Linked DNA regions of Oreochromis niloticus. The protein of the gene in region 1 interacts with the protein of each later gene in a pairwise test. Links are inferred from orthologs where the notes say so. Each region holds a gene or a part of one and is shown in the gene's direction. Other genes may lie near its edges. The genes, in order: klhl12, pdgfrb, segment polarity protein dishevelled homolog DVL-3 and prr13.

The links.
Region 2: the proteins of klhl12 (region 1) and pdgfrb interact in binary tests that used the Homo sapiens proteins (3 or more experiments, as listed by UniProt). The two-hybrid records come from large-scale screens. The link is inferred for Oreochromis niloticus from reciprocal best matches to the Homo sapiens genes KLHL12 and PDGFRB.
Region 3: the proteins of klhl12 (region 1) and segment polarity protein dishevelled homolog DVL-3 interact in binary tests that used the Homo sapiens proteins (3 or more experiments, as listed by UniProt). The two-hybrid records come from large-scale screens. The link is inferred for Oreochromis niloticus from reciprocal best matches to the Homo sapiens genes KLHL12 and DVL3.
Region 4: the proteins of klhl12 (region 1) and prr13 interact in binary tests that used the Homo sapiens proteins (3 or more experiments, as listed by UniProt). The two-hybrid records come from large-scale screens. The link is inferred for Oreochromis niloticus from reciprocal best matches to the Homo sapiens genes KLHL12 and PRR13.

What each region holds. Positions count from the first base shown.
Region 1 is NC_031984.2:10,042,646-10,049,756, forward strand, and holds the start of klhl12 (kelch-like protein 12), read left to right. Parts: upstream 1-4,109; 5' UTR 4,110-4,384; exon of another isoform or gene 4,385-4,477; 5' UTR 4,478-4,529; coding exon 4,530-4,587; intron 4,588-6,536; coding exon 6,537-6,763; intron 6,764-6,936; coding exon 6,937-7,090; intron 7,091-7,111. Other genes in the region: ptpn1 (tyrosine-protein phosphatase non-receptor type 1), read right to left, coding at 1,210-1,300, 3,542-3,598. UniProt on the Homo sapiens protein: Substrate-specific adapter of a BCR (BTB-CUL3-RBX1) E3 ubiquitin ligase complex that acts as a negative regulator of Wnt signaling pathway and ER-Golgi transport.
Region 2 is NC_031966.2:25,209,530-25,217,080, forward strand, and holds the start of pdgfrb (platelet-derived growth factor receptor beta), read left to right. Parts: upstream 1-4,530; 5' UTR 4,531-5,108; intron 5,109-7,551. UniProt on the Homo sapiens protein: Tyrosine-protein kinase that acts as a cell-surface receptor for homodimeric PDGFB and PDGFD and for heterodimers formed by PDGFA and PDGFB, and plays an essential role in the regulation of embryonic development, cell proliferation, survival, differentiation, chemotaxis and migration.
Region 3 is NC_031982.2:12,052,843-12,060,793, forward strand, and holds the start of segment polarity protein dishevelled homolog DVL-3, read left to right. Parts: upstream 1-4,940; 5' UTR 4,941-5,411; coding exon 5,412-5,572; intron 5,573-7,020; coding exon 7,021-7,090; intron 7,091-7,951. Other genes in the region: copb2 (coatomer subunit beta'), read left to right, coding at 1-120, 303-510, 654-764, 890-1,104, 1,221-1,359, 1,457-1,594, 1,770-1,847, 2,006-2,134 and 1 more. UniProt on the Homo sapiens protein: Involved in the signal transduction pathway mediated by multiple Wnt genes.
Region 4 is NC_031970.2:5,714,869-5,722,128, reverse strand, and holds prr13 (proline-rich protein 13), read left to right. Parts: upstream 1-4,468; 5' UTR 4,469-4,604; exon of another isoform or gene 4,605-4,617; intron 4,618-4,699; exon of another isoform or gene 4,700-5,119; intron 5,120-5,443; 5' UTR 5,444-5,474; coding exon 5,475-5,490; intron 5,491-5,617; coding exon 5,618-6,084; intron 6,085-6,313; coding exon 6,314-6,358; 3' UTR 6,359-6,758; downstream 6,759-7,260. Other genes in the region: cell division cycle-associated protein 7, read right to left, coding at 1,117-1,260, 1,585-1,737, 1,840-1,935, 2,117-2,503, 2,977-3,090, 3,570-3,638. UniProt on the Homo sapiens protein: Negatively regulates TSP1 expression at the level of transcription. This down-regulation was shown to reduce taxane-induced apoptosis.

The sequences.
Region 1 (7,111 bases):
AAGATAAAAAAAGAGAGGAAATAGAGGAAATGCTTGTTTCTGTTTTTGCTTTTTATTTTACCATTTATTTCAAGGCTTAAAAAAATAGATGATACTAAAAACATTGCTGAAAAAAAAAAAAAAAAAAAAACTTAATTTCCCCTTTCCCTGATCTTCCCCTTGTGTAGGTGTTTTTGAGACACTCAGTAATAAATTAGCTGGAAATACTATGCCACGCCAGTTAGAGTCATGCAAGGCTGTTTCTATTGCGCAATACTACCTTTACTTGACTTCAAACTGATATTACAGTGCTTGTACCTACTAAAACAGCAGACAGCTTAGGTGTTTATATAATGCTGCATAATGCTGTGACTTCACCACAGATGTTTAAACATAAATAGGAGATTACAGACCCTTCAACACTGCGGGTAGAGTACCAAGCAAAGAGACCCACAGTGGCATTCACTTAACCTTCAAGTATTCAAATGAGGTCGCATTATCACCCCAGCTGTATATTTATATGTGCCTTTGTGATATTTTGAATCAGAAAAATGTTCCTATCATGACATGACATGACATGACATTTGCCATTCCACAACTTTTCATAGTTTCTTACACGAATAACCCCTTTGGTGTGGCAAAGATAATAGAAAGCTGTGTGAAAATGTGAGCATGTTGTTTTTTTTTAAAAACATAACAGTGTTTGATTTTATTGTAATTTTCCACTTGTACTCACTCACTTTAATGTTTTGCAATGAACCACAGTTCACAGATGCAGAGCAAGATTCAGAGATATCCTGAAGCACATGCGGTTTGACAACTGAGCAACCAGAGCTGGCAGGCAGGACACAAACAAATCTGCTACTTTCAGGGGCATTTGGACAATGTTTCTATCACAGTTACCCAAATACTATATCCCTGTGACCAACCTCTGTGTGCATGGTGCTAGCTTTAAGAGGCAGGTTAAGTTTCAGGTAATGTATCTGTTCTACAGAAGGTTTGGCATAAAAACCTGGCATAACTGTGATGCTTAAAATCACTGAAAACCCTAGTTAATTACATGAAAACATTTTAAAATATCTGCCCTAGATAAATGAAACCAGTATACGAGTATATAATGAGGTCCTAAATGTAATTTTAGTGGCTAAAACACCTTGAGAGTTGTGGGAATATTTTAAGTGTTTCAGACTCTGCGGTCCAGCACACTGAGGCAAGCAAAGACAAACTTACACGGGCTAACGTCTCTGTATCGATTCCGATTCTTGTTTTCAGGTGATTTGGCAACCTTACAAGGGAATTCACTCGACTGCTGCCGAATCTCCTGTAACAGAATAAAAGGAGGAAAACAAGCATTAAAGCAGAGTTTTGGTGTTTTTGCAGGGTTTTTTTCGTTTTGTTTAAAAAAAACAACAACAACAACAAAACAACATCCACTCCACATTAAAAAGCTCTGAGTGTGACTGCTGTATTCTTTAAGACAAACAAACAAACAAAACAATGATGACATTCACTGATGACCCTTTTACAATTTCCTCTAGCTATCTCAATAACAATCAGGATTATATTTGCCTCAATACTAACACTGTCAAAAGCTTGTATTTAGACTACCCTAAAATATGAGGAGGGGGTTATCAAATTTCTGAAACCAGAAATTTGCTGGTTGCTTTCTTAGGGTGGTTAATGAAAGTTTAATTTAAATGTCAATTCTGACTTCCAACAATTATGAAAACAAGAAACAACATTCATTTTCATTGTTTTTATTGTTTCATGATATACATGTTCCAAGCCCACCTATTTTGCTTTCACCTCTTCCTAAAAAGTTTAAACTTGCGGTTTAGTTCAGTTGCAGGCAATATAACTGCAAGAGAGCTAAACAGCGGGACAAAAAGTTTCAAGGCATAGGTAGGTGAACCTGTGGAAAGATTATTAATGGTTGACTGCAGCCGTTTCCAACTCTAGATCACTTAGGGCCTGTCACCCTATCTGCTTTTGGCAATGCTGAACAGTTTGCGGTCAGCTTCAGTTCTCTGTGGTTCATCTGAGGCTGCTTTAAAGGTTTCCCAAGACGGCCGAACTCTATTACAGCGTTTCGCCCATCTGGACCCACAAACATTCCGCTATGGAAGCTATGGGCTTGTAGGGACCATCACCTGGTCTGGCTTTATAATCCAAAGCCCTGCCTACTGAACAGTTTTTTTCTATGTTATTTGAATTATGTAACAGTTAAAGAAGATTCCATGTGAAAAAACAACAACAACAACACAGTTTTAACTTCAGCCACTGCATAATGTTTGTAAAGTTTGTAAATAATAGAGAGATGATTGAGATTTGACTCAATGACCAATCATAGTCCATAACCTTATGTTCCACAGTTTCAGTTTATTCAATTTTCTTCAGCAGGGATAAATAACAAAGACACGAGGGAGAAAACCAAAGTCCACAACAGGTCTGATCGTTTGATCAAGACTGAATTACGAATAACAATTTAGCTCCATTAAGAGCATTTCCTGGCTCAAAATGAGCCTTTGGGGTGATTACATGAAGTTTGCGTAGCAGGTCAAATTTTCTTATACGCAGAAAGAAAGAAAAAAACCCCAACTAAACAGTACACTTCATATCATAAATGAGGAAGTGAATGCCTTTGACATGTTTAGTAGACCACAAATGTACAGAAAATATTTAATGTGTTGGTAAATGTTTTGAACAGTACTTTTGCTAGCTCACAAAAAAATTCCCAGGGGGTACTTTTAATTTTAAGTTTTAGGATATGGTCTTAAAGAATTAAAATAGAAGCTGTATGGCACATATAACAGACTAATGAATCCTGTATGCAATAGTATATTGGGGAGAGGGGGATTCCTGGCTCAAAGCAGGTTTCAGTTGGGGTTTTTTTTGGTTATTTGTTCTGTCAGAAATTTATTTTTTCTAAATTAACCCCACTGAAAACCCTTAACAATGCATTTAAGTTTGAGTAAATCAAACCCCATTCAACAAAAATTAATAATTCTCTTTTATGAAAGGCTAAAACTTCTTTAGAATGTGGCAAAGTTTTTCATAGAGGAAAATTTCTACCATTATTGTGATGCATTTCCATTTGAATTGTTACCTATGGCATTTTACACCTTACGTGTATCATGGTATGGGAGAGATAGAACCGCGATACGATATTTTGGAGGTTTGTATCGCGATTTCACTCGGTTTCAGGTGTGTTATACCCCTATGTAATGTATTACAAACATTTATAATAATTATAATAAGCTGCCGATTAACAGCGGAATGGAAATGTTAGACGAAACTGAGAACAAATCATTAAAAATAAGTTAGTACGTCCAAAAAATGTATGACGTCAGTCAGCGTTGAGCTGCTGCCTTTATACCCGGGCAGACGCATCAATCATCGGTTAACTCCGAGCAGGAAGAACAGGCGCTGAACTAAACACCAACACACTGATATAGCCAGAGAAACTATAGCTACCACCTCACCTTACATAAGCTACACGTTGGCCTAACCAGCTTCAGCTACGGTCTGATTATTTCCACCTTAATTTGCCAAGAGCTCTTACCTGATAAATGGCGTTCCAGCTGCCGTTTTCATCGATTTCCCGAAATTCAGCTTCCATCGCTGACAGTCCAGCTGCCACTCACTCTCTCGTTGTTTAGCCTCCCGATACGAACAACCAAAAGTCCCCGAAGATTAAACAAATTTCAGTCAAACTATTCGCAGTAGCTGCCAACTGGTCTGCCGCTGTTTTGTAATTCTCAGTGCGGCTGCATAGATTACCGTCTCGGCCTGCTCTTAGCGGAAACACGCCGCTAACTCCTCCTCCTGCTGCTGTAGCTGCCGTCCTTGGGTGACCAAAAAAAAGAGAGCAGAATTTTTTTTTTTTTTTAAGAGATAAAATTCCTCCTGCGTTTCTCTGTGTGTCACTTTGGGTTTATAAGCCCCCGTCAAATCCGGATTTGTCACTTAGTTTGAGTGAGACGGCTATTTTACTATTCCTACAGCAGCAGTTGAGGCCGACCAGCGGGCATGCGCGGAAGGCATCTTGTTTCTGGAGCGAAACGCGTCTGGGCGGTCTCCTCGGGGGACGCGCACGTACACTCACGTAATGGTCTGTTTACGTCCAATCTGTGGAGTCGCTGCTCTGCTGCTGCAGTTTAGTCAACGGGATATTATAGCTGGATAAAAATCCCATCGGGATTTAATATGATGCCGTTCCGATATATGTGTCCTCACGGTGGCCGTGCATAGAGTGACCCGGCAGAGGTCGTCATGGAGTAGCTGTAGTTGAGGGGCTTTGTTTAGGCAGTGCGACTGGGAGCAAAGAACTGGGACAGGGGGACTTTGGTGCTACTAACGTTAGCTAGCTGAGCAACTTAGCTAGACGTTTTTACTGCTGCGACAGGTATTATTATAAGTTGTTTTGTGTGTGTGTCGCTCCATGTGTTGTCTTCCTCTGGCCGTCAGCTCACTTTATATTGCTGTGTTTTCGTAGTTGTTATTGTTAGCGTTGGCGTTAGCCGTCAGCTGTCGTTGGCTGCTGCTAGCTAATGTGTAGCTATAGTTATTGCCTCCCAGTGGTGGAAAAAGTATTCAGATCTTTTAACGGTAAGTTTTATTTGCAAGACTGTAGTGGAAAAATGTTCCAAAAATGTAAAGTCTGGAAAGGAAAAAAAACACATATTTATTTGACTAGCATTATTAAATATGCTGCATTTATTCATAGAAATAACTGATCATTTAAACCTTTCTACAAGAAGTAGAGTGATGAGAAAAGTATTTCCCCCATTTCTGAGTTGTTATTTTTTTCATTTTTGAAATCTTCAAAGAACTTTTAAAATTAGGCAAATGTAATCTCAGTTAATACAAAATGCAGTTTTTAAATGATGATTTAATTTATTCAGGGAGTAAAGATATTCATACCTACCCGGCCCTGTGTGGACAAAAGTAATTGCCCTCTACAACCTTGATAACTTGTTATACCACCCTTGGAAGGATGAACCGCAGTCAAGTCTTTGTGATAACTGGGAATGAGTCTTTCACATGTGGAGAAAATCTGACCCACTCTTCTTTGCAGAATGATTTTAATACAGCCACATTAGAAGGTTTTCAAGTATGAGTGGCCAGTTTAAGGTCATGCCAAAGCATCTTAATCTGGTTTCAGTCTAAAATTTGACTAGGCCGGTCCAAAATCTTATTTTTTTGAGCCGTTAAGAGGCAGACTTGTTAATGTGTTTCAGATCCTGCTGCATAACTCATGTTATGCACCAAGTTATGCTTGAGCTCCATGGGACAAACTGATGACTTCACATTGTTCTTCAGGATTTTCTGGTAGAGAGCAGAATTCATTGTTCCATGAATTACAGCAAGAAGCCCTAGACCATCACACTACCACCACCGTGTTTCACTGTTGGCATGATGTTCTTTTTGTGAAATGCTGTGTTAGTCTTACATCAGATGTAACAGGACACAAACCTTTCAAAGGTTCAACTTTAGTCCTCAGAGTATTTTTTTTTTCAAAAGTTCTGGGGTTTATTTAGATGTTCTTTGGCAAATGTGAGACATGCCTAAGGCCTCCTGGATCAGTCATCGATGGGCTTTTGGAGTAATTTTGGTAGGCTGGCCACTCTGGTGAATGTTCACCACTGTTCCAATTTTTTCTTCATTTGTGGTTAGTGGCTCTCACTGTGGTTCACTGGAGTCCCAAAGCCTTAGAAATGGACGTCAGTGACTTTGGTTCTCATCTGTTTTGATCATGGCATGATATGTTGGTTTTTGAGCACTTTTGGGCTACTTTACTTTGTCAGGCAGGTTCTATTCTTGTGATTTCTTGATTCAGTAGGTGTGGTAGTAATCAGACCAAAGTGTGGCAAGTGTAATTGAACTCTGATTTCCAAAAATGTGGTTAATTGGAGTTAATTCATGATTTAACAAGGGTAACAATTCTGTTTTTACACAGGGCCAGGTAGGATTGGATAGCTTTTTTCCCCCTTAATAAGTCAAGTCATTGTTTGCAAGAAATAAATCAAGAAGTCGAGCAAATACAGCACTATAAATACTATAGTGCTTCTATGATAGTCAGTATTTTCTCTCCATTGCTGTCCTGTAAGCAGAATAAATTATGCTATTTCTTGTCCTTGCCAAGAAAAAAATGTAGAAATAATACACAATACAAATTATATATATACAAAGTAAGTATTATATAATGTAAAAGTTAATATAAAGTGGGGTTTTTTTCATGTACATTTTCATTAGCAGTTAGGTTTTGGGGGGGGAGGGGTTTGGGTTTTTTTTTTTTTTTTACAAAATGTTGTAAAAAGGGTGTAAAATAGTGACAAAAATCTGTTATCATTTCCCACAAAGTGTCACAAACTTATCTTGTGAATAGCCAGCAGTTCAACCCAACTGACAAATTACTGACAGACACACACACTCACTAGCTGCATGACTTGCTTGTACAGTATATAAAAATGTGACATTGTGGCGTGCTTTTATGCTTACTGTGGAATACCTTTCTTCCCAAAGGATGTTTTCAAAATAGACTGTCTTTTTTCCAGATTCATTTAGTAGTTTGAGATCCGTAAGGGATTCTCAAAGCAGCATGGCTCCCAAAGACATCATGACCAATTCCCATGCCAAATCCATCCTCAATGCAATGAACTCACTTCGCAAGAGCAACACACTCTGCGACATCACTCTGAGGGTGGAGAACACTGATTTTCCAGCTCACCGAATCGTCTTGGCTGCCTGCAGTGACTATTTTTGTGCCATGTTCACTAGCGAGGTAATAATGTTTGAAAAATAGATGCCCCAGTTACATTCCTGATGCACTCTTTTATTCTGTTTTTTTCTTTGTTGGCCTTTCTGGGTGTTTTAAGGTGGTGTTACATTTGCCTAAAATGCAGGATGATTCTCAAAAGTAATCCTTCAAATAAATGTGTTGTTGTGGCTCTGTAGCTTGCAGAAAAGGGGAAATCTTTTGTCGACATTCAGGGGCTCACGGCATCCACTATGGAGATCTTGTTGGACTTTGTCTACACAGAGACTGTGCTCGTCACGGTGGAGAACGTACAAGAGCTGCTCCCTGCAGCGTGTTTGCTACAGCTCAAAGGTAAGTTCAGAGCTGTACCTT
Region 2 (7,551 bases), on another chromosome or scaffold:
GTTAAAGTCCATATTTTAATTATATACATCACAGGAACATTAGAACATGTAGAAAACATAGCTGTAGAAATGGCCTGCTTGCCTTCAGTGGCAGCTATGGCTCTGACCAGATAATACACTTCAGTATCATTATTATGGCAAGTATAAAGAATTTTTTTATTCTCTTAAGCTGTTTAATATACATTTGTAGTCCTTCAGACTACACGGGTTTTTCTCCTATTTGAATTGAAAATGGTTCTCCTTTGTAATTCTTTGTGTTGTGAGCTTGATTAACCAGGAAAACACATGATAAAAATCCTGAAATACCACTCCAGCGTCTTTATTTATAGTCTGCTCTGATGTAAGACCAATAGTCAAGTCAAGTCAAGTTTATTTATAAAGCACATTTAAAAACAACCAAGGCTGACCAAAGTGCTGTACAATAAAATACAAATATAAAATACTATAAAACACAGGTACATAAAATACCTCACTGATAAAACAATAAATTAAAACAATAGGTTAAACCTTGCTAAAAGCCAATGAAAAGAGGTGAGTTTTAAGAGCAGTTTTAAAAGTTCCTAGGCTTGTGGAGAATCTGATGTGAGGGGGTAAACTGTTCCACAGTCTGGGTGCAGCCACAGCAAAAGCCCTCTCTCCCCTAGTCTTTAATCTGTACCTGGGAACATCTAAAAGCATCAAGTCTGCTGACCTCAAAGATCTCCTGGGGCAGTAAATGCTAAGAAGCTCTGCCAGGTAAGGAGGTGCAGTACCGTTAAGAACCTTAAAAACCAGCAGTAAAATTTTAAAATCAATCCTAACAGCAACTGGGAGCCAGTGGAGAGAGCAGAGGACCGGAGTGACGTGGTCTCTCTTTTTGGAACCGGTCAGCATGCGGGCAGCAGCGTTCTGCACCAGTTGGAGGCGATGCAAACAGGAACGATCTAAACCAGCATAAAGGGAGTTACAGTAGTCCAGCCGTGAAGTAATAAAAGCATGGACCACCCTTTCTAGATCGTTCCTGCACAGGTAGGACTTGACTTTAGCTAAAATCCGTAGGTGATAAAAAGATCCCTTGACTACGGAGCTGATTTATTTGTCAAATTTAAAAGCACTGTCAAAAGTAACACCGAGGCTCTTAATAGGGACACAGGTCAAGCAAAAGCAAAGTTGCTTTGCTCCCTGCTATGTCATGGCTCAAAACATCCATATGAGGGCAGCAAAAAGCTGAGTAATAGCAGATAACCTTCCAGGTTTGGAGTCTTTCAAGTTCAGTCATACAACTGACCTGTTGTTAAAAAGATCCACACAGTTAATTCATCATCATCATTCTCGCTGTTAGCGTTTTATTCTTTCCATCTTCAGCTGACACCGTGCCTTATCCTATATATTGCACTTATCAAGCTCGTGCATGAGCTCATCTATATTGAACTATCATAAAAGATTCATGTCAATATCAAGATAATCATTCTCAGCTACAGTGCCTATCAGCTGTTAGCAGGAAGCTGGCTGATGTTAATGGAAGTGGCCTGAACATTAAGGAAATTGCAACATAAACATGAAAACATATCATCCAACGCTTGAAATACATTGATGGCGACCACAATGCGAACCAGCTTGCCTGAAAATAAACAAATGTGGTTAAAGCACTTATGAGGGTATGTCTTAATGTACAAAGTAAAGTTTGACCTTGATAAACCCTAAACATTTCCATTACTGTATAGTTATAATCCCACATTTAGAGATTTAGTTTAAATCTGTTTGACCTTAAGATGCCTGTTTCCTTTTTTGATCTATTCAAAATTTTCAGCGCTCCAAAAAGAGAGCTGGTTTAGGGAATGTTTTACCCTTTACAGTAGAATCGTGGTTAGTTATATATTTAGTTTAAATTTAAGCCTCTCCCTAAATGCAAAACAGATAGCAAATGCATTGTTGCTCTGTTGTCTGTCCCACTTTGCCTTCTCTTTTTTGACAATGCGTTAGACACCATGCAACAAAATCACACTAAGATGTGAGTGTAGAGAGGGCGCGGATGCAATTTCTCTCATTTCTCCTCCAGTTCAGCATTTAATCTCATTCATTCCCATAACTAGTTCTTGAAGCACCAGATCAAACAAATCGTTCCATTTGAACAGTAGCCCTAAACTAAATATTTGTAAATTGATCACAACATTTGGCAAAGACAAGCAGAAACTCTTTGCACTGGAGAAGCTGGAACCATGGAAGGTTTTCTGTTTTTGGTTTAGTTTTTAAAGTAGTTGCTGAGTCTTACAATAAACTAGTTGATTAATGGATTAACCATTTCAGTGTGGTTGTTAACAATGTTGCTTCACGGAAGGAGGTTCTGGGTTTGAATCCACCACCCAGCTGGGGCCTTTCTGTGTGGAGTTTGTAGGTTTTCCTGTGGTTGCATGGGTTCTCTGTGGGTTCCACAATCTAAAGTCATGCATGTTATGTTAACTGGTGATTCTAAACTGGCCTTAGGTGTGAATGTGAGCTGTCTGTTTCCGTGTCTTAGCGAGTGATAGCATCTTCACCGAGTTGTATGTCGCCTTTTGGTGTATGTTAGCTAGGACAGGCTCCAGAGCCCCTAAGACCCCAAACTGGATAAGGAGAAGAAAGTGGATGGATGTGTGTTTGAGGCGGGGTGTAGTTTGCAGATCAGCTGCAGTGGGGTGGGTGGGGGGGTGGAGTAAAGGGTTCAGGAAATGGCGTAAGGGGAGGTTGACCAATACAGCTAGCCTTCCCCATTTCAGTAGGTTGCTGAGACCTGACAGGAGTTGTTGTGTGTGGTGTGGAGCAACAAAGGCAACTGGAAGCCTGCTCTAATAAAAGCCCTGCAAATAAACATCAGCTCACATGTGATGATGCTGTTATGATGATGTTTTATGTTGTATTGCTTCTTCTTGATTTTTGCTGTTTTCTATTTTGAATGTCTTATTATTGTGGTTCATTTTCAGATTCAGTCCCAGATCACATTGCCGAAATCAAGCTTTAAGGTGCCCCAAAGTCATATATCTATTATCGGGACAACTTAAAATGGAGGCAGCTGTAGTTCAAACATTTCCCTCAGTCTTCATCTATCAGAGGTGCAGCAGGTTCAGCTCCAGGTCTAGACTTTAGTATACATGCTCCCTGCCTCCACAGGTCTTTGTCTCAACTCTTGTACCTCTATAATGGCCTGTGCTTGACAAACACAGCGCTGTAACTTTTACCTTTTCCTGAAACCCAGCAGGAAAACAACCGTAGAGCCTGTTTGCACTGCTTTGCACTCCAGCTATAACACTAATTCAGATCAGCAGTGATAGAAACTTCTTGTTAGCTGCTGACAGGCTGAAGAGACTCAGTATTGTTGAGGCAGAATATTTTGGAATCCCACTTGTTAAGAGCTGCTCCACTCTGTGGGGGTAAACAAGGAGTGCTGCCATATATAGAGCAATAGACATCCCGTTGTGGACTCTCTTCAGCACTGCATTGTATCAAGATGCTAAAATTACATGTGATAATAAAATGAAAAGACCCCCTAAGATTCTAGCATCCTGTTATTATCGGTGAATTTCTGCGGGTGTTTCGACAGAGTTCGTGTCTTATCTCATGCTGATAAAGGATTGTGTGTGCATGAGTGTTTACATACGTGACTGACGAGCACGTTATTGCTGTATTACTGCCTTTTTATCTTTTGGGTCTACAGTTTTATTGACATTACAAGCAATGAAACGCCTACAAATAGATTCAAGAGTTCAAATAAGTGGATTTAGAGCAGGTTTATTGCAAGTAGGTGCTAATTACATAGGCAGAATTAGAAAGATATAAAAGGAGGAACTGTCCCTGTGTGGTGTTCCTCCCCTCCTATCTAATAACTGGAGGGGGCTTTCTGGCACTCTAATTAGTGCGAGCAGGTCTTTTAGATTTGCCCTCTCAATTAGAGGAGAACATGTTAGTTTCCAATTTAGCTCCTGTTCCCCTCCGCCCCCCGTCTGCCCCGACCTGCTTGTTAGATAGAACAGGTCTTTATTCAGCTGCAGTGCTGCGTTCTGAATCTCAGATCATCCTCTCATATCCTGGGAAAGGATTGAAATAGGAAGAAGGCTAGTATTGAGAGCAGACATATTTACATGGTTTTGCTTGTGTTTATAAAAGAGAGGATAAAAGGCCAGGGAAAAAAAGGAGAAAGAAGGGGGTGAGGATGGTGGGAGGTGTTGAGTTATTTCATGCAGGGGAAAAAGAAAACACTTGAAAAAAAATATGATATAAAAAGAGATGTAAAAAACAAAGCTAGTTCACTAAAGTCCCCTTTAACCACTTTTATACCTGTTTTTAAGAGTGTGATTATATAAGGGAAGTTATTTTTCCTGAGAAACTGAGACTTCCATGTTTGTTTCCAAAGCAGGGTGCAATCAGCGCTGCCAAAACCTTTTTTTTTTTCTCCTGGCTGGACCACTCACTCACTCTCTCACTCTTTCTCCTCCTTTTTATTGTGTTTGTTGTTTTATGGAGGGGGTTAGATGCGGTCCAGATTGCCGTTGCCAATAGAGACTGTCTCAGTTCACCTCCACTCCATTCATAAACAAATCGCTCCGGCTCAGACCTCTGAGCCTCTACCTTAGAACAACAAGCAGAACTGGATTTGTATTTTGAAGTTTCGTCACTCTGTTAGAAACTTCTTGCTTTCTGCTTCAGCTCTGTTTCACTGCTCCCTCCCTCCTCTCCCTCGTCCTGCTCTCTCTCAGCTTCAGCAGGGGTGGACACTGACGCTCTGCTTAGTGTGGATCTGTCAGGGGTGGAGTGTGCACAGTTTGTGTGTGCGTGTGTGCATGTTTCTGTGGGGAACTTTTTTTTTTCTTAGAACACTCTTTCTGAGTGTGAGAGTGGAGAGAGAGAGAGAGAGACACCCATGGTGATGTGATTTGACTAAACAAACAGCCGGGCTCACTGCAGTACCTCCTCCAACGGACTCCTGGGACAGCAGAGATTAACCTCAGAGTGAACATCAGAGGGATCTATACATTTGAAGCAGCAGCCCCTGTAGAGACATCTCACTGGAAGTCTCTCCAATTTCCTTCTGCTGGCCGACAACCTTCTTGGTCAAAGAGGAAAGATTCTTCTGTGCTTCTGGGGTTCGTCTGAAGGTAAGAAGCATACTTCTCTGTCACCATCAAGTATTTTAGTATAAGTTACAGCTGCTCCACATCTGCTGGCAGAAGTAAAAAAGGGCCGTGCAAAGTGGGGAACATTCACTTATCCTGTATGGGAAGCCCACTGTGACAGATTGAGTTTCACAGCCATCTGACACAGACGCACCTCATCCTGAACACTGGACCCAAGTTTCGTATAGCTTTTTTAAACAAAAAATCTGATTTGATTTGACAAGAGAACAACCTGTAGGTCTTCGTGATGTTGTTGCTGTCTCTTGCTGGTGTTCGTTACCCACATACTTGTGTGTGTGTGTACACAACAGCCATTGCAACGCTGCGTGAAAGAGCGTAAGCAACCTGTTCAAACATCAACATAGTGATGGCTTGCATCTCTGTACACAGCAACTGTTTGACACTTTCACATTGGACAACTTTAACATTGTTTATTTTCCCACTAACAGAATGCATTTGACAAGGTGTCCCGGGGTCTAGTGTACACACAAACACAGTAGGGTTTATAGTACAAGCTGTTTGTACGCTCTCCACTTTGTGCTTCCCTGCTAAAGGGCTTGTTTGTACAGCCCTCTTCAGTCACCCAGAGTGGCGGTCCTCACCACCAAACCATCGGTCACTTTCCTCCCTTTTCAATCTTCTCTGCATTGATTCATGAAGAAGCTCATTGAAGAGCCATGGCTGTGAACTGATATCAGACCCAGCGTCTATCACTGTCAACAGCATCCTCTTTGGAGGAAACATACCACCTTAAATTTATAGTTTTATGACTCAGTCTCCCTTTTATAATGTAAATATCTCGTAAAATCAATCTGGTCTCATCTCAAGAAGTTGAGAGCCGACATAAACAATCAGTTGAATCATTGCTTCCTGTTCATCAGAAGATTTTAGTAGCTGGAGTGAGTTATATTATAGCACTGTGAGCCATTTCATGGCTGTGACACATGTGGCATACATGTCTTTTCCAACACGTGTTTTGCACCTGAAAGCCTTCCCGCCTGACTGTTGTGTATGGTTGCTTTGGTATTTAAGTTGTTGGGTTGGGTAGCTGCACATCCATCTTCTGCATACAGGGGACCTTTTTGACATGAAACCATTTGAATTAGCATCTGCTGTAATCAAAACGTTGTTGGCATGTGTTTTGTGGATGCTCTTCTCCTCCTCTGCAGACAGGAGTGTCCTTTTGAAGTTTTTGATCTTCTCTGGCTCTGTGGATGTTTCACTCCGGGCACTGTCTGGCATTGTTTTTGTAGATGAACCGCTGGAAGACTGCATGCATGTCATACTTTTACCATCAATGGTGCTAGACTGCATTGCATTCATTTCATAGTTTTAAATTCAGTTTCTACTTTCACAGCACCAACTTATAAAACACTAAATCTGCTGTGACAAATCTTTATTGTAAGATTTGCAAAACTTAGTTTAATTTCGACTCTGACAAGTGGGGATTTTCCTGTCTTGCGTCAGGCTGCTGGTATGTACTCCAGCGGAGTGCTCCTCTCCGGCCCCGATGCAGTGCAGCCCAGCCGGCTCCATTCCCCCTGGCCCAGACCTAATCCGTCGACATCAGCTGTTTCCTGGCTCTCTAGGCTTTCTGCATGCCAGCAGCTTTGAGCAAATGTGCTTCACATTATGACCATGCAGAAAACATGCCAGGAGTCTGATTTAACTCACATGTGCAGATATGTAACATTTTGAGTTCAACAACAACTTTTGAAAAATACTGATCCCATTCTGTCCTCGTTTCATTTATCCTCTGTGATTTCAACTCAAAGTTGAGCAACCCTCATCTGAAAAAACTTGTTTATAGAGGAAACACTGAGTTAAAATACTTACACACTCTCACATCATGTTATCGTGACACGGATTGGTTCATTTTTCAGATTCACAGAACAAACTCTGACTCATCCCCTGGTGGACACTCATTGGCTTACTCATTATCCACCACCAATATTTTTTGAATGAGTTGTTGCTTTTCTTAACACTATCAGTCTAGTGCCTCTTTGTACGTCGCTGGTTCTTTCATACTGTGCTTAGACTTTATACTTGAGTCACACAGTTTTAATGAAAAGCACTAAGTGGTGCTGCAGTAAAGCATCCTGTATGGCTGGCTGTCCATCTGGCCTCCCCCCTCATTGTTTCCCTCCCACTCACACAGAGCTGTCAGGCAGCTGCATCTCATCTTAAGACAGGAAGTGAGTTTGTTCATTGAGGAAACATTCATTTGATTTATTATATATATACTCTCGTCGCACAATAACAAACTTTTAGAAGGGGATAAGCCTAAAATCGCAAAGAAAGGTGTCATAATCACGCAAAGAAAAAGACATTGCAATGTGGATACAGTGCAGAAAATTACTAGAAGACTATTAGGAGACTACTTCCTCATTTAGTACTTCTCTTGTTGTATACTCATTGCATGTAC
Region 3 (7,951 bases), on another chromosome or scaffold:
GATCCAGGAGATTGTCAAGACTGGGCTCTGGGTTGGAGACTGCTTCATCTACACCAGCTCTGTAAACAGACTCAACTATTACGTTGGAGGAGAGATTGTCACAATTGCACACTTGGACAGGTAAGAATACAGACTATTTAGGCTCGAGTTGAATAGAATTGCCCTCCCAACTTTATTAGAAACACAGTCCAGCAATGCGGAAACTCCGCAGATTATTACAGTAAATATGTAATCTACAAAAAGAATAAGCAGCCTCTAAAATTAGCCTTGGTGCTTTTTCACACCTACTTCCTTTTCTGCAGGACCATGTACCTACTGGGTTACATACCTAAAGATGACCGTCTGTATCTGGGAGACAAGGAGCTCAATATCGTCAGCTACTCCCTGCTGGTCTCCGTCCTGGAGTACCAGACTGCTGTAATGAGGCGGGACTTTGGAATGGCTGACAAGGTGCTACCCACTATCCCTAAAGAGCAGAGGACCAGGGTGGCACACTTCCTGGAGAAACAGGTTAGCAAAGGCGATTCATTCATCTTCAAATACAACTGGACTTTAAACATAAGCTGTAGAAATCTGGTCTATTAGAGGTTATTTTAATGGTTGTCTTTTGAGTTGTAAGTATGCTTAAGGCTTCAATTTCTTTGGCTCATCAGGGTTTCAAGCAGCAGGCCCTGGCAGTGTCCACAGACCCTGAGCACAGGTTTGAGTTAGCCTTGCAGCTGGGAGAGTTGAAGATTGCTTACCAGCTGGCTGTAGAAGCAGAAGTAAGGACACAGAAGCAAACGCAAACTCTGTATCAAAGGCTTGACCATAAATGTAATTTGATGTCACGATGGATCAGGTTTTCTGTCCAGTACATTTCTGATATTTTTTACTCTGTTCTCTACAGTCAGAGCAGAAGTGGAAGCAGCTAGCAGAGCTGGCTATTAGTAAGTGCCAGTTTGGCCTGGCCCAAGAGTGCCTGCACCATGCCCAGGATTATGGTGGCCTGCTCCTCCTCGCTACAGCCTCCGGTAATGCTGTCATGGTGGGCAAGCTGGCTGAAGGGGCAGAAAGGGACGGCAAAAACAATGTAGCCTTCATGACCTACTTCCTTCAGGGAAAGTAAGTGTGAGATGTATGAGCCTGCAGGGGCGAATTGTGTAATAGAATCGTGTTGTTCACACTGAAAATGAGGCTACCAGGGTCATTCATGCCTTGCTGCTGTGCTTTCTTCACAGACTGGATCAGTGTTTGGAGCTTCTGATCAGAACAAACAGACTACCTGAAGCTGCCTTCCTGGCTCGCACTTACCTACCCAGCCAGGTGTCCCGTGTGGTCAAATTATGGAGGGAGAATCTGGCCAAGGTCAACCAGAAGGTTAGTTACGTCCTTGAGATTTTTGTTTTAGCTGTTAAACTCAATCAGCATCAGTCTAGATATCTGTTCTTGGTCATGACCTGCATCTTCATTGTAGGCGGCTGAATCCCTAGCAGACCCTACAGAGTATGAGAATCTGTTCCCCGGGCTGAAAGAAGCCTTTGCAGCTGAACACTACCTGAGAGAAACCTGCTTGGGCACCACCAGGCCTGCTAAAGACTATCCACTTGTTACAGTAAGCTGAATGACTTTGGTCAAAATACTTAAATTATGCAGTGAGGAGACGGTCATTAAAGTACTCACTGAAAGTCCATGATGACTTAAGTAAAAAAGATGCTTAGTTTTGAGGTAAATTATCTGTGTTATCGCTAATATGGCAGCACTTCTGAATTTGTATCTGACATTTTCAGCCCAATGAAGACAGAAACATTCTTGAAGAGGCCCAAGGATACGAGCCCAAAGGAACCTTCCTACCTCCTGTCTCTAAGGTTTGCATACAGTATCAATATCTCAGTACCTTTTGTATTAACCTGATTACTGTTCATTGTTCTGTAGCTTCTGTCGGGTGTAAGAATGAATAAAAGCTAGAGAAATTAGTGCCAAGTACAATTTAAAATTCCCTTATTTAACTCACTTTTTTTGGCAGACACAAGATGAAGAGGAGGCAGCAGCTCCCGTTGCTGCGGTGACACCTTTACAGCCTGAGCCTGCTCCTCCTGCAGCAGTGGAGAAAGAGAAAGAGACTGAAATCTATGATTTCTCACAGAAAGATAAGGTAAAGACTTCTGCTCTTTATTTTTGATTTATTATGCTGTCAGTCCTTCTTCTAGTGTGGAAGTGATGACTTAGGTTTTATTCATACAAAACAACTTTTAGCACATACTGTTCTTAGTTGATGAAGTAAAAGCAAATAAATGGAACATTGTTTAAAAAAGGATTTTCCTTTTTGTTTGTGTCTCTCCGTCCTAGACTCTGGATGAGCTCGAGGTGGACCTGGACAACATGGAGCTGGATGACATTGACACCACAGATGTTAACCTTGATGATGACTTTCTCGACGATTGATTGAGACCTGCCAACAGTCTGCTCCCAAGCACTCTATAGAGCATATTTAAAAGAAAAAGAGACCAAATCCCTTTTCCCCACTTTTTTTTTCTTTTGTATTTGTCCGTAAAAATGTTATATTGTCATATCCGCCTACTGCAGTGTTTGAGTGGCAGATCATGATATCAGTGATGTTTTATCCTCAGAAGAAAGGTAGACAGACTCCCTCATTTTGTAAACCATTTATTGTTTGAGAATTTCAGAAAAACTGTCCACTGGGCTGTATTTTATTACTCTTTGCTTTTTGCTTTGCTTTTTTTTTCTGTTGTGGCAAGTGAACATTCATTAAGTCCAATAAACTGGTTTCTGTACATATTCACATTTGACTAAAGAGCGTCTTAATCTTGATAGTTATCGCAAAAATTAACAAATGCAGCTTTTAATAATGAAGCAATAATAAGTTCCTCAGCAGCATCGAGTGTGTCAGGGTCCAGCTGGGGTCTTTGCTCCTCATCTACAGCCACTTACTGCAGCACTGAGCAATTCCTGAGATGGTGTGGTGTACGGCTTGGCCACACATCTCTAACTTTTTAAGGAGTTTGGGTGGTTATAGCACAATCAGAATCAGTATACTTTATTAATCCCTAAGGAAATTATGTGGGTTACAGTTGCTCCAGTACAGTAACAGAAACATAACCACTGTTAATCTCCACTGTGCAAACTATTGCTCTCCAACCTCACTGTTCCACCTCCGCTTTCAACTTAGGATGTCATAGCCTCTTCCTCTCGCTGGCCTGAGCCATGCCATCCTCCCATTCTACTGCCAGCTGTATAAATTAGACAGACACACATGCATCACTGCATAATAAACAGCATAATAATGCATAATTATTTGAAAAATTCCAGTGATGCAAGTCTTGTAATTGTCAAAAACAAACAGGAAAACCTACAAACATCTTTTGGCAGCAGCAGCATTTGTGTAATTAACATTAACAGTGTCTCTGTTGCACCATGTAGGTGTGGCAGTAAGTCAGACATGACTAACATGCAGCCTTTACTAAGATTCAAGTTGTTACTCTCTGTATGAGAAAGGCCCATTGTGCATCTTCTAACTGTTTTGAACAGGTTAAACTACTTTATGCTCGTAAACATGTTAAAAAAACAAAACAAAAACACTTTTACTGCAGTGCACTTAAGTGCATTCTTTTAGGTTCTTTTCTGAGTATTGATACAATAACTAGCATCACAGAAAGCAGTTAACACTTACTCCACATGCACAAAGTGCAATATTAGTATGAAAAGATATCATTTATTCTCCATAAAGAGTACTTTTATCTTGTACTACTTTAACTGTAGCTTCAGACTTTTTAAACTGTTGTGTTGCTTTAACTGCATTGACAGTGTGTTTGTGATTGTCATGCTAAAAGAGTCATCTGTTGCCAATTAGACACTTTCCACATTGTGCTTTTCTGCGTTCATAATTCAGTTTTTAAAAGGCAGTGTTTGATACTTGATATCTTGCTTTGTTTTTTATGACATTTTGATAAATAGCAAAAGTAAAGATGGAATATTTTGATGGTTACACTTATAAAGATGTAATTTACAGCATTTGTTCTATTAAAATGCTATTATCTGTAAAGAAAGGACTATAAAAGTATGTTATCCTTCAGCCAGATGTATGCTATCTAAAAGTGTAGATGTGTTTGTGTGTAAAATCTCACTGCACACCTCAGAGTAATAAGACACATTTTTATCTGAAATAGCAGGTAAACACAGATGTTAATAACCACATTAATTACGGCTTTGTGCTTAAATACAGCATAACCGGCATTAATGTCGGTAACACCTGTCTGCTATTTCATGTGCTATAAAACATGTCTAAAGTGTGAACAATGGCCATATAATAAACTGAAGAATGTTAACCATGATCCACAGTCATAAATTAAGTTCTTTGACCTGCTGATGTGGGAAAAACAAATAATCTTGATAACAAAATTGAAATATTACTGCCTTTCAATCACTCTGATTGGACTTCTTCTCAGTCTGAGTGAGCTATGATAGCAATTACAAGGGGTCAGCAAAATTCATACACAAATAAAAATGTCGTTTGATTTCAAAACCTCTCCCTCCATGCCAATTCTCTGCTGTATGATGGGAGGGCCTACATTCCCCCAACCCCCTCCTTCCAGATTTAAAATGCAAAGGGGAATTTTCCATTTGTCTTTTGTGTCACAGCTGAAATTTTTAATTTCAGAGTGATTAAGATCCAAATTCTAAGAGAGTAAAATGATGACTGACAATGATGGTCTTATTCTTTGCAATCCATCTAAAGGTTTCAGCTGTAAATTGGAAACTTTTGAGTATAAACATATTGAAGCTCTGTGTAAGTATAACATCATATAATTGTGGGTGGTCTGTGGGGCTTCAAAACTGCTTAAAGGCCGTTTAATGGCCTTGCCAGAGCAGTATGGGAGCAGTTAAAGTGCCCCAGCTGTCCTCGAAAAGCTGTCACTCTCCTCCTCACCTGCGGAGGGCGCTCCTCCGAGACAGGCTTGGACGATTTTATGCAGTTTCGTGTGCAACAAAGTAAAGCCGAGCAGCTAGCGAGAAGGGAGTACGGACCCTTCTGAGATTGTTTATTTTTGCGCCGTTTTGAAACTGTTTTTCTCACTTATTTGTAAGGTTTTTGTGATATATTGTAGGTTTTACACAAACGGAAACTAAAGCAATTCAGTCCTGGGGCGGTGTTTGGACGCTTTGTGGAACAGCAAGGTGTTTTTTTAATAGAGAGTCAGACGTAACGTTAGCAAGCTGCCGTAAAGAAAAAAGAAAGGGGAAAAAAAAGGCAGAACCGGGCACTACGGAACGGGTCGGTCAGCCAGAGAGAGTCGGGTGGACCACGGCACAGCCGCAGCCGCCAGCGCCACGGGGAGTCGGGGCCCGAGAGGGAGCCTGCCAGGCCCTTGGCTTGATGCACCCAGTCTGCCTTGCCTTATCCGCAGTCCGAGATGGGGGAGACCAAAATTATCTACCACCTCGACGACCAGGAGACACCATATCTGGTGAAACTGTCGGTGCCGGCGGACAAAGTCACGCTGGCAGACTTCAAAAATGTCCTCAAGAAACCAAATTACAAATTCTTCTTCAAATCTATGGACGATGACTTCGGGTAACTGTTAAAGGGTTCATTGTGTTTAACGTGGAATCAGCATAGCAACCCGAGTCTGCTTAACCTCAGTCCAGTCAGATTAACTGTAACATATTTGTTACCTCGTGGAGCTGGCTTGTCATCACTTTTAAGGTTGCCTGTCTTTCAGTCATCAGCTAGCCGTTTGCTTTGCTGTTCCTTTGTTAGCTGCTAGCGTCCAGGTCGCATCGTTAGCAGGTCTGTTCAGCGTCCCGACCCCGTTTGTTTACATTGCTCGTGCTTAGCTTATGCTGTACTGTCTTACCAAGTTTGGTCATTTCCAGTGTCATGAACACTAAAAGAAAGCCTTTAATCGCATTTCAACTTATTGAAGACTAAATGAAACAAGGAGCAATTCAGAAAAGTGTTACTAACTAGTTATTGACGTTACAGCTGTCAGTTGCTGCCTAATGTATGAAACGCTTATGCTAGCAGGCTAATGAATGGGTCTAACCGGACACTTGGTGAGTGAGTGAGACCAGAAGGCCCCTGCTGTTGTTGTCTATTAGCCTAAGGAATGCAAAGTTGGACACAGGAATGCCCTGTTCATCACTCTGGCAGCTTTATGAGCGTGTCCCTTTGTGTTAAAACATGGCCAGAAAAGTAGACGTTTTATGATCCTCCACACTTTACCTTCTTCAGAGTTAAATAAAAGGGAGAAATGTACTTTTTTTTTTTTTTTTTTAAACACTCGAGCCAGGTTGCCAAAGTTTTTCTGGCTAAACTCAAACAAGGGTGGGGCAACAACCTAGATAGGAAGGACGAGTTTTGAAAGGATCCGCAGCTATTTGTGTTGTTTCAAGAGTGGAGGTGCATGCACTAAATTAGCTGCTGAATCCTTAAAGTCTAGACTGATGGTGTTTTAGTAACTTGTTAGACTGGTTTGGAGCCTGAGATCTTTACCAGGAAAGCCTCACTGACCATCAGTGTTCTCCCTGTCAAAGACCCGGCTAATCTTGACATCTCCAATACTCTGAGGCACTTGTTAAATACATGCCTTATTTGTCCTCTTCATTGTGTAACAAGGTGTTGTTAAGATCTGCCTGCCATCTGATCCTTGCAAGCAGGACTGAATGAATGGGAGGGTTTGCAGGAAATTCACATGGTTACATTTACACATGCCTTTTGTTAATGTATTTGCAGCAGTCTGTAATGCATTAAGGCTTACTTCTATATATGAAATGGACAAGTGAGCCATCTTTGGACTGGTTTTCTGTGCGTGTGCCAGTAGTGTCAAACATTTGGTTATTTTGAACATTGTCATTGATTCTTAATGTGTAAAACTGTCCCCAGTTGTCAGCGTCCGTCCTGGTTGGTGGAATATATTGTCCAGCTCCACTTCCTCTAAATGCACCCTCATGTTTTATTGCCCAGGGAGTGCTTTTGTGTTGGTAATGTTTGACTGAAACAAAGCCTTGTTCTCTTTACAGGGTGGTAAAGGAAGAAATATCTGATGACAATGCTAAGCTGCCCTGCTTCAATGGACGCGTGGTGTCATGGGTAGGTCCAAAATACACGCTGCAATAAAATGTATTTATTTATTTATTTTTTTACTGTTTGCTTGTGTGCGATAACTTGTGTGGTTAAGTGGCGTACATGAATGTGTAACAATGATTACCATCTGTTGGGCACTTACCCCAGTCATGCTCAAGCTTAGGGGGAGGCACTGCACATCTGTGTAATAATATCATTATCACATAACGATCCTCAGAGCAGTATACATACACTGCTTTTCCTAAACCTTTTCTTTTTCACTGTAAAATATCAATTTTTTTTAGCGTGTCCTCACACAGGCTAGTTGCCGCATATAGCACATACATGTACTTGCATGCAATTTCTTATTTAAAGCCTCTAAGCAATAATACGCCTGTCTCCACAACATTCGAGACATCTGGCGCTCGTGCACGGCCCTCCTTCCTCTCTTCTCGACATTGAAATTGGATTAAGAGCAAGTGAAATCACAGGATAGCCGGAAAATACTCCATAACAAAGGGCCTCACTGCAGGTCATCTAACAAGAAGATTGAATCTCACAGGGAGGAGAGAATAAAGCAGAGAGAAAGACTGCTCTGTGTCGTGATGTGAAAGGCTAAAGCACTCGCTTAATTTCTACAGTGTGGTTTTAATTATTTGAGCATCATCAACATGGCGTTATTGCTCCATTCTGGAGCGTATATTCCACCGTGCTCGTCCTAATGCGTCTCTTTGTTGTGGTCGTTTTCATTAGACTGCGCAGAGGTTTAGTTTAATGTGTTTAAAAGCCAGTTCCCCTTTGTGTGCGTTTGCTCCAAAGTGTTTGTTATCTCTTGAGGGCTGTTGATATGTTCCACGTACAGTCAAATGTTATTTCTGTTACAGTATG
Region 4 (7,260 bases), on another chromosome or scaffold:
TTTCTGGCTCAAATAAACCTAAAAACACTCGTCTGAGGTCAGGACGGTGGTTTATCTTTATCGGTTGTCTCTCGGCTTCAGGTTCTGTGCACACTCAGATAAAAGGTTCATTTCACAGGTCACATGACTCTTCACAAAACGACCCCTACGAGTGTTGCTTACTCCAGACATTATCTGATGATGTGATACAATAGTGATTAAGATTCTTTAATGAACATAAATAATCTGCTCCTGACCATGGTGATTTAACCAGGTACACTTTCATGGTACATAAAAGTCTAGCTTGACATAGCTGACTAAGCCGTTAATCTTGATTCATAGAACAACCCTCAGTTCTTGGGTGTTTATGCAGTCTGCAGTGTTATCATTATTAGGTGGAGAAAAAGGGAAAAAAGAAAAAGCATACCAAGCTAGGTTACCTTATGCCACCAGGCTAAAGTGGATTTATCTGTCTCTGGTAAATCAACACCTTAGGTAAACCGTAACCTCAAACCCTTCTGTGTAAGCTGCACCGTCACCTGCTGTGCACCTCTCTACAAATGTAACCACACGTCATGGAAACACAGCTGCACAGGCATAAACATGGGAACAGTGTTGGATGCTTGTGCAGGCTTCGTTGTAGCCTCTACAGAGCAGAAGCCTAAATTAAGTTTAAAGGGAATGGCATGGTTTTGGCATTTCTTCCTGTGGTGAACTCTACTGTCGCTCCCTTACCTTTTCAGTCAATCAACACTTGACCTACAGAAAGCTTAATCTCTTTCAGGCTATGTACAAAAACACTGGCTGCATATAGAAAATACTTCACTTTACGCAGCCAAAGATAAAGGCAATCGCATCATCATGAATCCCACTTAAAAGCACCAACCAGAAGGTGGAGGTCACAAATGTACACTCATAAAAAGGGGTTTAAAAATAAATGTCAGATGTTCTCTTGACCTTAGGACACAGACAAGCTTGCCACGAAAGCCTGAAGAATCGGTTTATTACTATTTGAAAGCAATGTGTACAGAATTAAAAAGAGTGTTTATCTCAGAAGTCATCATCCAACCATGTATCCTGATCACCTGGTAACACTGAGTGTTAACGGGGTTTGAATAATACCAGCAGTAAACTCACGGTGACACTGTTGTAGACTTTCTCGGTCATGTTGTCTGCGACCAACTCGAGATCATCTTCTGTGATTTCTTCTACCGGACGAATAATGTGAGGTTTGCTTCGATTACCTCGTGGGACGCCACGACGCCGTGGAGCTTGGCGTACCTGAAACACATGATGAGAAGAATAATCCACTTAGCTTCAAGTTTTACATGGATAGGGGCAAGAAACAGATTAGAGAATAGAGCAGAATAAAATGATGGCTTTCACTCACTGCCACACTCCTTATCACTCTGGTTCTCTAAGGAAAGCATATGCACGATTCTGAACACTAATTTTTATTAGATTTTCTTGACTGCCATCTACTTCAAAGCTAAACCAATAAATAAATAAATCACATGTAAATATGTATATTACTGTACTATATTGAACAAATACTCCAAAGGCCTTGTAGACTTTAACTGGCTGCTGATAAGTGACAGAACTGACCTCCAGCAGCTCCTCCTCCAAGCTGAGCTCCACTTCTGCCTCCTCAGCAGCCAAAGGATCCTCCGTTCCCGACATGGACCTTGTCAGCCTGCGAGACGCCCGCTCTGGGTTTCTCCTGGATTCTCCTCCAGTCGCAGCAGATCGTGGCGGATGCTGCAGGAGATATGATCCATCAAGAAATTAAAAAAAATTCAGAGATCTACTGAAAAAGATGTGCTGTTAGCTGAAAATCCCTTCATTTTTCACGACACTCACAGAGCTTCTGTCTTTTGCCTTCTGTTTGCCTGCTTGTTTCTTCAGCAGCCCTGCACCTCCTGGCATTTTCTGCAGGTCTGCCATCAGCTGAGCCAACTGTTAAAGATGAGCAACATGAATCACTGTAGAAGGTCAGCACTTGAAAGCATTATTGTACTATTCACACATTTCCTGAAGGCTTAGTCCTCTCAGCACTAGTCCCTGAGACCACATTTGTTTGTTTTCACATCAGTTTGTCACATTTTAAACTCGGTATGTGGTTCTGTGTATGATTTACCATGGCTTTGTTGGCTTTAATGTTCTGCTCTCTTCTGGCCAGGAAAGTGTCCGACGCATCATCTGCTGAATCAGAACCTCGGTCCTCAGTGGAAGCAGGCCGAGCCGCTGCTGCCTCGCCATCTTCAAATTTCACGTGTCTCTCCTTCTTTGTCCTATTGCGCTGTCCTGTCCTTTTGACTCCTTTCTTGTATGTCGTCCTCTCCTCCGCCTCTGCATCCTCATCGTCCGTAGACTGCTGGGTAGAGGGAGCTGAGCGCAGAGCCACCCTCAGCCTGAAGGGCTGGACTGTAGAAGTAGCAGATGCTTTAGATTTAGTTTCCTCTTCCTTGGGGAAAATGTCCAGCTGAGCTTGAGCTTCATCTTCATCTCCAAAACTGCAATTCTGCTGAATATCAACACAGAATAACAGATCTTTTGGCCAAATCCCTTTACATTAGTGGTCTGTCTGAATGAATGCAGAGTAAAATTACTGGATTTGGCAACACTTTATCGTGAAACAACCAAAATACATGCCAATTATAATTATTGCCAGAGAAAATCCACACATATTTACAGCTTTAAGAATCATTACAAAAGAAAAAGAGAACACAGATTTATTAGATCATAAAAAAAGGAGGTTAGCATCAATTGATGCTCAGAATAAGTGGTGAAAATCGTCTTCAAATAAAACACATTAGCTTGTAGAGCTGGTGCTTTTTTTTCCCTTTTTAAATGTCCGACAGTATATAAACAATTTAACCCACCTGTCAGCCTAATGTGTCCCACATAAACAACCAGTCCAAGTTAGTACTTGGCTTTCTGGTCACCGCAGTATGGATATATGAAGCTTTAAAGGTCTAAAACCAAACAAAATCTTACCTCATCTTTGAGTTCAGTGTCGGTAAAGCCGTAAAATGTCACATCATTTTCACAGTCCTCCCAAAAAACATCAGCTAGCTCCTTTGTGAGCGAATTCATCCTTAAAACCGTGTCCTACAGATAAATCACCAAAATTAGCCTCAAAACATTATAAAACTGTGTAGGATACGTTTATCTGAACAAACAGGTAACCAAATCCTAATTTATTGGCCTCTTTGTCGCCTCTTGTGTGTGTGGCTAACCTAGACTGTGGATAGCACCCTGCTAGCCTGTGAGGTATAGCTACGCTCCTGCACACCTGCAGACACACCTTCAATTACTCGTTTTAATTGCCCGCTGAGTTCAAAGCTGCCCGAAAATAAATTAATGTGATTTTGAGGGCTAAATTAGCACGAATTTGCTGACGTTATTATATGACCTTTTTTCCCCTCTAAAATTAAGTTTTTTTCTTTATTGTATGTTAAAAAAAACCCATGACGTTTGAGCCGGGAAAGCTAAAGTTTGAGGAAACCGACCCCAGAAACGAAGAGCTTCATCCCACCTCCTGCTGTCTGTGATAACAAAATGATAGCTAAAATTATTTTTGATTTCACCTTCAGCTTTGTGGTAAATAATGCAGTTAGACTAGATATTTTTCTCTTCCTACATTCTCCAAACTGCATTTTGTGGCTGATTAACAGTGAAACACCAGTAAGAGATCCATGGAGCCCATGTGTGGAAGGATGTTTATCCAGCCATCATGCCCTGAAGCTCATCTCACTTGGCATCTGTGATAGCTTTATTTATGTACAGCATAACTAAAAAAGGTAAATTTTTACGTTCACAGTTATGCTCAAATGTCTCCATCTGCAGGTGGCTTTACATTATGAACCTGTACTCATCGTCAAGAGATTCTCCACATACTGAAAAAACTGGATGTATGTAATATGTTTGAATATTTACTCAGGTATTCCAGTGAGACAACCCAGGTCATACCTATGCGCAAAAGGCCTTTTTAAGTATCATATTCTGAAATATCACACTGATTATAGCGAATAAATAATAACATTATTTATGGATAAATTTAATGTAGCGTCAGTTTTAGAGTTTATTTCTTAGAATGTGTTTTAGCTGATTGTGAAACTTTTATGAATTAAACAGAGCTTGTGTTGATGTCATTGGTGACAAGCATAAAAAACTCAATTCCTGGACAGTAAACCTAAACGATGTAATTCACTGCAGCCATCATTTCTGCTGTAAACTGATTGTATAAAAGGTTTTGAAATCTGTGTATTGTTGAACAATTTCCAAGTGCTGATCCATGATGTCATGGGCTTTATGTGCTACCATGAGGGCATGAGTCATAGGTGAAAATAACAATAGTGTCAAGTCAGGTGTGTGTATGTGTGTCACGACACACACCTCAACTCCCGACTCCTCCCATTAAAAAAAGATCACTCAGATTGTTTTCTGTTTTAGCCATGTTCCCAGGTATGATGGACTCTTGCCATTGCGTAAATAAAGTCCGCAGCGTTCCTCCCAAAGGGCGTGGCTTCCTGGTGTGCTTCTTTAAGCCTTCCGGGAGCTGGGTGCGGAAGACAAACACGAAACTGCTCTTTCGGAATTCCTGAAACTTCACTGCAATCGAGGTAAGTTCCCAAGGTAAAACCTGTGAAATCTTTAGATTTTGATGCAGTTATTATAAATGACTCGTTTGGGACAAACAGCTAAAACTCACAATAACGACTGACTGAGTGTGCTGAACTTGCTGTGTGGAGAAACATGGAGAAAGTGTTGCGGATTTACAAGCTGTTGAGCAATTATGACTTCATGTTCAGACTTCATGTTTTGTCAGGTCTTCTTCTGTAAGCGTATACATGCGGCATTTAAGCCTTTGATGTGTGTTGTATTAAGGTTTATAGCAGCGATGAGCCGTGTTCTGTACTGAAGTGCTACAAAATGTAACCGTTTCCACGGTAAACACTTAAAAACAAACTAACAGATGACAGATATCACGACCTTCATAAAGAGAGGATTAATTGGAGGGGTTTACTACGGTTTAGTTTTATTTAGGTGTTCGCATTAAACGGCTTACTTTGTGCATCTGTGTGTACACCAAACACAAATTGTGAAATGAGAAACCGTGACAGCTAAAGGTGATCAGGTGAGTAACTGCCTCTGGCTCTGATGTCTCTTTGTCAACATGGTTACTAAAAGCAAAAAACAACCAAAAAAATCCCCCACCAGATATTTCTCATTGTTGTTGAGTGTAAGCACCGACTGCTTTTCCCTTTGTTGTGTCTTTGTAAAGTGAATATCTGGTTTTGATCTGGAAAAATGAAGAAGCCACTGATTAAATGTTAACTGTTGTTTGTTTAATTTGGGTAGAATCAAGAATTCAATCAAGATATACTGAGTGATATATTTACAGTGTCATTTTTAATTAATCCAATATGTTTAAACTGCATTTCCTTTCTCTTTCCTCTAGGATTTTTCAGTTAGTTCAATATATATAAACCATGTGGCCAAATCAAGGTAGGACATCAAACATGATTACCATTTAATTATGATGTTTTATTATGTGTGTCTATAATTGCTTAAAAGCTTAGGTGTTTTGAAGCATACAGTGTGTAAGATGGATGTGCGCTTTTACTTGTATCAGGTCCTCCTCCACCAGTCGGTCCACCAAACCCAGCCTTTCCTCCTGGCTACAATACTGGTTATCCTGCTGCCCCTCCTCCAGGAGCCTTCCCCCAGCCTCCACCTCCACCATACTCTGCTGGCCAGTTCCCAGCTCCTATGAATCCAGCCATGGGACCACACGGTGCACCAGGGGCGATGCCTTACGGAGCTCCTGGACTTCACCCTTATCCTATGGCTCCAGGTGGATATCCAGTTGTTCCTCCTGCAGGTGTTCACCCAGGTCCATATCCACACTCCCCCAAAGGCGGCAAATACAAAGGTCATCATCATCCTCATCCTCATCATGGAGGGCTAAATCCCATGTCTGGAGCCTTAGCCGGGGGAGTTGCAGGAATGGGAATGGGGCTAATGGGGCACAAAGCAAACAAAAAGATGCACAAGAAGATGAAAAAGGCACACAAACATAAGCACTACAAACATGGCAAGGTGAGACTGGGTTTAAATTTAGAATGTCAGAGTTTATGGTTTAATTTTCCAGTTTTAAGTGAAAAGAGCAAACAGTTTTCAAAGATGGTGACTTTTAAAACTGTGTCTTTCTTTGTTCACTGTTGAAGATGGCTTAAGCAGATCAGACATTGTTTATAATTTTAAATCTATATTTTAACTGTTTTAAAATTATTGATAGATGTATAATTTCCTGTCTCTGTCTTCACAGTCCTCCAGCAGCAGCAGCAGCAGCAGCAGCAGCGACTCAGACTGAGGCGACTGGTTTGAAGCATGGCTTTCACATAAAAGCTGTGTAACAACAGCACAGCGCAACTATTAACTGTTAACAGTTAACTGTCAATGCATTAAAGCAGTTCTTATAGCCTTTTGCAGATTTTTGCTGAGTCACAGCAAATCTCACATGGTCACTATATATGTATGACACTAGAAATGCATACAGCAGCTCTTTGTGTGTGTGTGTGTGTGTGTGTGTGTGAGAGAGAGAGAACTTTAATCAGCACTGGGATACCACCTCATGTTGAATTTAACTTTGGTTTGTGATTTTTAGGTGAAATGTTGCAATTTATCTACTGTTACTATTCTCTAATATTACAATGACAAACATGTAGATAACTGAAAAAGAGACTGCAGCACTGTGCAGATGATTTTCTTAATGTAATTAAGTTAAAAGGGATATAGAAAATATAGTTAATTAAGTAAAGGTATACTGTCTATAATTGTTTTTTTTAATTTTTTTTATTTTATGATCACTACTGTGCATGGCTGCAGAACTGTTGCTTGTTAATATCATTCATTTTAAAGTTAAATAAATAAATTGTATTAATAAATGGAGTTACATAAAAAGTATTTGGTGTGTTTAACATTGCTGAGAAAAATCGAGATTTTTTTTTTTTTTTTTTTTTTTAAGAAAAAAAGAAAGAAAGAAATTGTAATAAATGTCATGCTCACTAAGGAGACAGGTTTAATAGTGAAGATACAAGGAGCAGAGGTAGTGAATTTAAATACCTGGTGTCAACCATCCAGAGTGAAGAGAGTGCAGGGAGGGTGGAGTGGGTGGAGACCAATGTCAGGGATGATTTGTCCCAGAAGGATAACAGCAAGGGCAAATAGAAAGGTTTCCTGCAATGATGTCTGGTAGACAGGAGGCAGAGTTGA